2 linked regions of the Drosophila melanogaster genome follow. The protein of the gene in region 2 purifies or fractionates together with the protein of the main gene of each other region. This does not show direct contact. Each region holds a gene or a part of one and is shown on either strand. Other genes may lie near its edges.

Region 1 (3,755 bases), on a different chromosome or scaffold from region 2:
AGCTGGTAGCGGGTTAATTGAATTCGGAATTATATTATCACTATAAGCGAGTGATTACTGTATTCCCACCCACTAAGCCCAGTCTTCCTCCCTCTTCCTCTTCCTTTTCCCTTTTCGGTCGCTCTTATTGTTACGTTTGATGGGGGGGGGGGAGATGCCACCGTTAGAAAGCCAAAGTCACTCACCTCTCGCTCGCACCTTCAGTGGCGCTCGCTTGCCGTCCCGCTCGCTCTCACTGCGCTGTGGCCGTTGGTCCGCTGCAGCTAGTGCAACAGCAACAACAACTACAACAACTGCAACTGCTCTGGGAGCCGCAACAACAACAACAACAGCAGCAAGCACGAGGAGAATGGCCAGCGGAGGGCACGAAAATCCGTAGGCCGCCCATCTGCCGACCTTTAATGACGTTTCGCGATGCTTCCTAAGCCGTTTGTTGTTCTCCTACTTTCGGGCGGGCGCACTTTTATTTATGTTTTTATTTATTTGTGGGTGCTGCTCCACTTTGTGGTGAGATTTATTGTTTTTGCCGATCGCGTTTCACTTCAAACTTGTGCGGCGCCTATTTGCATAGAAGTGTGCGTGTGTGAGTGGGTGGCGGGAGGGGCGGGAAAAAACATAAACATAAACATTTTATACACATTTCGTCACAAATAAAGAGGCGCACACACACATACACATGCACTCACGGTGTATCAACAAAAAAAAGCCTCTCTCTCGCTCGCTCCCTCTCACTCTCACTCCCTCTCTTTTACTCTGGCGCTCCCACACAAAACACACTACACAGGCAAAACGGCCAAGCCAGGTGGATTTCTCCGAATTTTCATAGATGCTTTTCGGGCTTTCGCAAGTTATGTTACATGCTTGTTTTAAGATAGGTTACGAGAAAACGAGGAAAAACACTTTTACGAATCCTCCCCCTCTCACGTACACACACAAATGCACCTTACACCCAACAAATACATACGCACGCACACGCACACGTCGAGCGTTTGGCATACGAAAACATGATGCAAACTTTTCCTATTGGAAACCAATTGTGTTTTCCATCTGAATCGGATGGCACCGTGGGCCGAAATATTTACTATTCGCACATAAAAATCGCATCGTACAGGGCTCACTCAATAAACAAATCACAGGAAAAAAAATAAATAACCCAATGCACATTAGAGGTGGAACTAGGACCTATTTCCATGCGATACTATCGATAGATACGTATCAAGTTTTGTTGGTGCTGTGTGTAACGGGCAAGGAGAGCGGATGGCAACTCTTGTCGCGGCGCGTATCTCCGATAGAAGAAAAGGTGGCAGCACAGAATTTATGGGCGCACTGGGTTAGCAGAGGAGCAAGTACTTGCTAAGCGTGAGTGTTTGGCATCCCAGATGTGGAACTTAGTTCCACAAAGTAAAGTAAGTAAATAAGTAAAGGTGGCAACTAATGTCGTAAACAATATTACCGCTTGGGAATCGATTCTTTTCGATTCTAAAAAAGATCGATTAAGTCGAAAAAAACGGCCTTAAATCAATTAATCAGCTTAAAAATTAAGAGGCAGCTCTTATGCTTAGAATTTTTGTTATCTAAAAAAATGCAATGTTAATATATTTTGTAAGATCAATATGTTTTCATAGATTATTTATAATCCACTGGTACGTAGGGGGCAGTACAAATGTGATTAATTTAATTGAGGAATATTACTTTAAGATTAGATTTGTCACCTTATAAAGATAGATAGACATAGCATCGATTTCCTAGTAATGTTATCGATTTCTTCGCCCATCTGAAAATATCGATTAGATCGATTTTGAAATCGAATTGCTCACAGCTCTACTGACAACACCAAAGTGGCTGATTTAAACCATCTGATATTTACTATTTATCCGCAATCCTGACAGAACCATGAACGATCTGAACCTGCGCGTGGCCGCCTTGAAGGTGTGTGCTCACCCCAAGAGATTTGCCGAGCTGCGCGACGCCCTTGTGCCACTGCCCAACACGTGGATTGCCGGTGGGTTGTGGTGGGTCACTTAGTGACCACCAGTAAGCTATGTATAAACATGCATGCTGAGGCTCCAATCGCTTCTCCATTTTCCAGCGCCACATGACTTTGTGCTCCAGTTCGCGGCGGCCAAGAGCAGTGCGGAGCAGGTGCAGGTGGTCAAGGATGTCTTTTACGGGGAGCAGGCGCAAGATCATGAAGATGTAGCCCACTTCCTGGCGGATCTCCTGCTGGCCAGTCCCCTGAAGCACGCCGTGCGCAACCAGCTGACCAAGTACGGTGAGCCCACGGCGACTCAAGCCACACGATCCAACTGGATGTCCTATAGCCGATGATCAATCCCATTTAGACTCTTCTCGGACAATGCGCTGGCCAAACAGAATGCGTCGCCACATCGCAGGCACTCGAAGGAGCACCTGCTGGAGGCTCTGCAGCAGTCGCTCGGCGAAATGGCCAACAGTCTCGCAGTGATCACGCCGCCTGTCAGCCACGAGCGCACCAACGATGTCTTCGTGTCCGCCAACGCCTGCCTGCAGAACTTTCCCTTTGGACGGGAGGCCCTGGGCAAACAGGTGCATCGCTTTGCGCCGCTGCTAACTACCGCCTTGGAGCGCTACTGGGCGGACATTTGGTGCGTCAATCTAATGTATATGATAGCTGCGCACAATGCTGACTCCACAATTACCTTGCTTTAAGACAGTGACCCTACGCTGGAACTCTCGCCAACGCGTCGCAACGAGCTCTACTTGTACGTGCAGAATGCGCTGCGGTTCTTGGTTAGTCTGCTGGCCGAGTGGAGCGACAAGTTGCGCCTGTTCGAGGATCAGCGGTTTCCGGGCACGTCGAATGCGGTGGCCCAAAAGGTGGCTCGCTACTACGACACTCCGTGGGACGTACGCTCCATTGCCGCCCTGCTGATCGGTCACCTGGCTCGGTTTTCCGGAACATTCAAGGCGTATGTCGAAGACTGCTCGAGGCCAAAGGCAGAGCAGGATGTTCCCATACAGATGGCCGCCCTGCTCGTCCTGCGGCCCGTCGATTATACAGAAAACGCTACACTAGCACTGGCTATTCTGAAGAGGATCGTGGCCGTCAGCGAGCTGAAAAGCACCGTGACCAATCTGCTTGTCTTCCTTTCCAAGCATCTGTTCATTTACTCCAAATCGCTGGGCGAGATGCACGCCCATCTTCCTGACGACCAGAAGTTGCTATACCAACGGATCTTGGCACAGCTGCAGGTGTTCGCCCTGCAGAATATCTCCAGTGACACGGACTCCGTGCGCCACATGAGCAGCGCCCTGCTGCACCAGGTGCTGCAGCACGCCCAGGCCGCCGGCCAGGAGGAGCTCTTCCAAGTCGTCTATCGCCAGTTTGAAGATCGTGCTGCATACCTAAATGCCAGTTGCATGGCACTGGAGCAGCTGGTTGCGGTGGCCGGAGTCAGCAAGTCCATCGAGAACTGTCCTTCGCTGTTCGGAGTCATATTCCCGCGCCATCTGGGCTGTGAGGATTGTGTGGATGCCCTGTTCAAAGGCAAGTATCCTTCATTGAATGCAGCCTCGAATCGTGTACTTATTCCTTTTGTTATTATACTTATTAGCCATGATGGTATCGGCCCACAAGACGGAACCCTTCGCCGAGTGGCAGAGCCGGTGGTTCGGTCTGCTTTTGGCGGCAATCCGCGTGCCGGAGAAGCGCCGCCAGGTCATTGAGGAGCTGATCGCACAGGCCGTACAGCTGGAGCCAACGAGACTGGCGCAAG
Region 2 (3,755 bases):
GCACGCGGATTAAGGGCATCCGGAACTTGATCATGTACCAGCCGCCCAACTTTCCGCACTTCTATTCCGAGATCATCAATCTGATGCTGAAGACAAATCAAAATCCGCGCGATGGATTTGGGGACGAAATGTCCGTCAGTATCCTGTACACAAAGTACGATCTGCTAAGCTTGAGTAACATTGTGGGCAGTGAGAATGCTGCGAAATTGACTTCTGGTCAAAAGGATTCCTACCTTTTCTCCACCAAAACGTAAATGCTTACACGAGAGCTGACTTTGAAATATGTACATATTTAGTTGTCAATTAGAATATACTAAATGTTAACGCAAGTAAATAGTAATGTATGTGATAACTTTCAGTTGTGGCTCTATTTTTGGACCTAAATACTTTCGTGACGTAGAGATTTTAGGAGGAACTGGCTAGGTGATTGATCTGATGTTAAGGGTGGCGATGTCTTCTCTTTGTTATTACGCAATTTGAAATTATGAAAAAATGAATAATTGGCAAATGGTTGTGTAATAAGAGGCAGCATAAGTAGTGTTTTGCCGATTGATGAAATGATTCAAAATGCATTTGAATTCAATATATTTTGCCTGTTTTTACTTTAATATCCCTTTTTTATAAAGGAAGATTGGCCAGAGCATTATGCAATAAAAGTTATCATTTATAAGGCAATTAAGTGTTAAAAAACATTATTTTGCAGTTTGTATTTGTTTTTAAATGATCACTTCGCTTGATTGCTTGAGATTGCTGGAATCTGGAACCATTACCATATACCGAGTTCCTAAATAGACAATATCCAGCGGTTGACAACCGCATCAAACCCAGATTTGCCAGTCCCAAAATAAATCAAAATTCCTGGCTGCATTGTCATTTATCAACATTTTTAAATATACACATAGGTAGCTTATAAAAGTTCTGGCCTAGACATATAGAGGTAAAATAGTAGCCAAATGCATATTTATGGGGGTCTCTGTGAAAAGTCGTAATAGCTGCTGCACAAGGCGGATGGCTGATGGCGGATATCATACGGCAGAAACGTGTGCGGAGAGCGCTCTTGCCAATATCTGAGAGTCCGAGTCCGTAGGGGCATTACAAGCCTATAAATAAAAATAGTCGACGGCTGCCAGTCTCTGCTGAAATTGGGGAAAAAGGCAGAAAAGCCAAACGAAGAACTAGGGGTTCGCAGGCCGACTGGTGGATGCTCTTTCAGCTGTTAATGGATCGAGATCAACTAGATTGAGGAAATGAGTATTTGGGCTGGGATTTGGGATCTGTTGTATTTGCCAAGGACAAGTAAAATATTCAAAGGGCAGCAGCTATGGATAACTATGATGGATTCTAGCTCGGCGAAAGTGGAATGCGTCAGTGCCAGTGCCATCATTCCCAACCATCCCCCCACCAAAGGACCCAAGTCTTGACCCACTTGAAGTGGCTGACACCGAAGGTAGAAACACCTTTGAGTGACAAACCCTTCCACACAACCCAGCATAATTTCCCCAGATTGGTTTAAAAATACCACTTTCTAAATATTAGACAAACACACGTGCATTTCTCGGAATACGTCTGCACTCACACTCCCAGGCACATCCACATCCACAACCACATCCACGTCCACAAGTGATCTCGCATCGCCACATTGCCATTGCTCTAGACTTTCGTGGCCGTGCGCTCCCGCGGATCCGAGATCGGGCGGCCATATGTACGTATGTATGTATGTGGATGGGGAGCTCGTGTGCCCGTGGTATTGTGGTATTCCCACCTATACCTAGCCACATATACGAATCTCTGGGGGACCACGGTGAATCTGCCTCGTCGAGGTACGAACGAGCTGCACGAGCAGATCTGAACCGCCACCATTCGAATTCGGATCGCATTGGATTGGATTGGATAGGTGGTAAGTGCTCAAAAGTTTGTGCGTGCTAAAAGTATTTTCCCGGGCCAAAATAGAGAGTGTATGTAGTTTTGGGAATTTTGCCAAAATATATGAATTTTGTAATTCAAATAGACACTCTCATCGCGCAGCGTTCTCCTTGCGTTCAGTTGCCGTTGATCGTTATAATAGCGCGATCTTTGTGTCTTGGTCTTCCGACTGAAATAAATTATTATATAATAACGGAATTTTTGCTAGGAATAATAATTGTAAGTTTTGTTGATTTTCTGCAACAACTGCAAAGCGAATACGCCAGTGAATTACTCCAAACTGCCAAAACCATTGGGTAAAGCAAATAAACCCCCCTAAAAACTATCGAAAATTCGTCCGCGCGCTTTCAAAAGAAAAGAAAACCTGGAAACCAAAAGTTATTGAAATGCCTACATATCTACATACGAACATGCTTCTTACACTCGAAAACCGTGCTTCAAACTCAAAGTGTTTGCCCCCAGTTTACTTTGCCACCCTGGAGCTCGTCCAGAGCTCGTAGTTCGATCTATCTACATACATGAAATATCCGTAAGGGCGACGATTCGGCGGTGACCTCGACCTCCGGATGGTATCGAAAATTTGAATGTCACCAATACGAGAGCACTCCACGAATAGATTCGATCCGACACAGATGTAAAGTTTTCCAAGTGCCCGAGATCTATGTATCTGTGATTGAAAATCTGGTTATGCAACCACAACCGCAACCGTGGCGAATATATTCGTACCCAAATTCGAAAGATCCATGTCTTGTACTGTACCTGTAGCCCTTGTAACAAGCATAGAACACACGATCTCTTGAACTCCTTAACTACCCGCATTCATAGCTTAATGGTGGTTACATCGGTTAGTGAATTTGACTGCCTTTCAGTTGCAAAAGATCCCTGAAACCAACAGACAGTTTTACAGAAACGTGTAGCTCTATAAGTACATTCAGCCCAGGATCATGGCCCAATCATTTGTACTTATTTTTGAACCCACCCACCCACTATTATACAACCCATCGGTGGACTTGTCAATCAGAAATTCGGATTCGGGGACGTGGGAAGCAGCATATCGCACAAGTGTCGACATCCATTAGCATGGAGATATCTCTGCTCGCAATATCATAAGCCGTTAAATCGTACATATAACCGCGCAGAATAGGAATCTTTCTCCCTACGATCGTCTCTCTGTATATGTACTCAAACTTATTTATGTGGTCCTAGTACATATCTTTATATCTACGAGTGTTCAGAATTGAGCTGTATTTTTCGGGTGCTAGGACTCTATTTTTAGCCCATCTCGGACAGAGGCGATTTTTTGCTCCATAATGCACACACACATGTGTATTTTAGGGGTATATATAGGCTATATGCATGAAGATGTTTTCGAAACACACGTCTCTGTGCTCAAAATATAAGTAGTATTCGAGCGCATTGATTGACAGTTTTTTGAAAACTAACGCCTTTTGTGGGCGGGCAACTGGTGGAAACCTCGTTATCAGAAGTTACGTATGTAATTCTGTGACGTAGCCAGCGTAATATTCAAGTATTATGCGAGTTGGCTGCCGTTCAAAATTCCCCGTATGGCCTGATTCTAGTGTCTGGTCGCGAAAAAGATTAAAATTAAAATTTAAAAATGTCGCTGCTGGCGAATACCTGGCACCCAGATCTATTTATTGCGGGCTCTTGATCTCGATCTCATTAATTTGAGCACAAAATGCGCGAAAAGAATAGTGTTGCTTGTTGTGTGGCCAAAATAGTGCGGATGTCTCTGTCGCTTGCCAAGTGAAAATATGACAATGTATAAATAAGTTTAAGCATTCGTGATAAGGATTTCAGTTCGATTTACA

The links.
Region 1: the proteins of SERCA (region 2) and THADA purify together in Drosophila melanogaster (affinity purification with western blotting; one study listed by BioGRID). This does not show direct contact.

The regions. Positions count from the first base shown.
Region 1 is NC_004354.4:19,863,597-19,867,351, reverse strand, and holds the start of THADA (THADA), read left to right. Parts: upstream 1-1,827; 5' UTR 1,828-1,893; coding exon 1,894-2,002; intron 2,003-2,089; coding exon 2,090-2,267; coding exon of another isoform or gene 2,268-2,272; intron 2,273-2,342; coding exon 2,343-2,624; intron 2,625-2,689; exon of another isoform or gene 2,690-2,693; coding exon 2,694-3,526; intron 3,527-3,593; coding exon 3,594-3,755. UniProt on the Drosophila melanogaster protein: Together with methyltransferase Trm7-32, methylates the 2'-O-ribose of nucleotides at position 32 of the anticodon loop of substrate tRNAs. Plays a key role in energy homeostasis by regulating the balance between energy storage and heat production.
Region 2 is NT_033778.4:23,933,967-23,937,721, reverse strand, and holds the start of SERCA (Sarco/endoplasmic reticulum Ca(2+)-ATPase), read left to right. Parts: upstream 1-1,837; 5' UTR 1,838-1,897; intron 1,898-2,041; exon of another isoform or gene 2,042-2,142; intron 2,143-3,637; exon of another isoform or gene 3,638-3,755. Other genes in the region: CG3735 (uncharacterized protein), read left to right, coding at 1-254. UniProt on the Drosophila melanogaster protein: This magnesium-dependent enzyme catalyzes the hydrolysis of ATP coupled with the transport of calcium.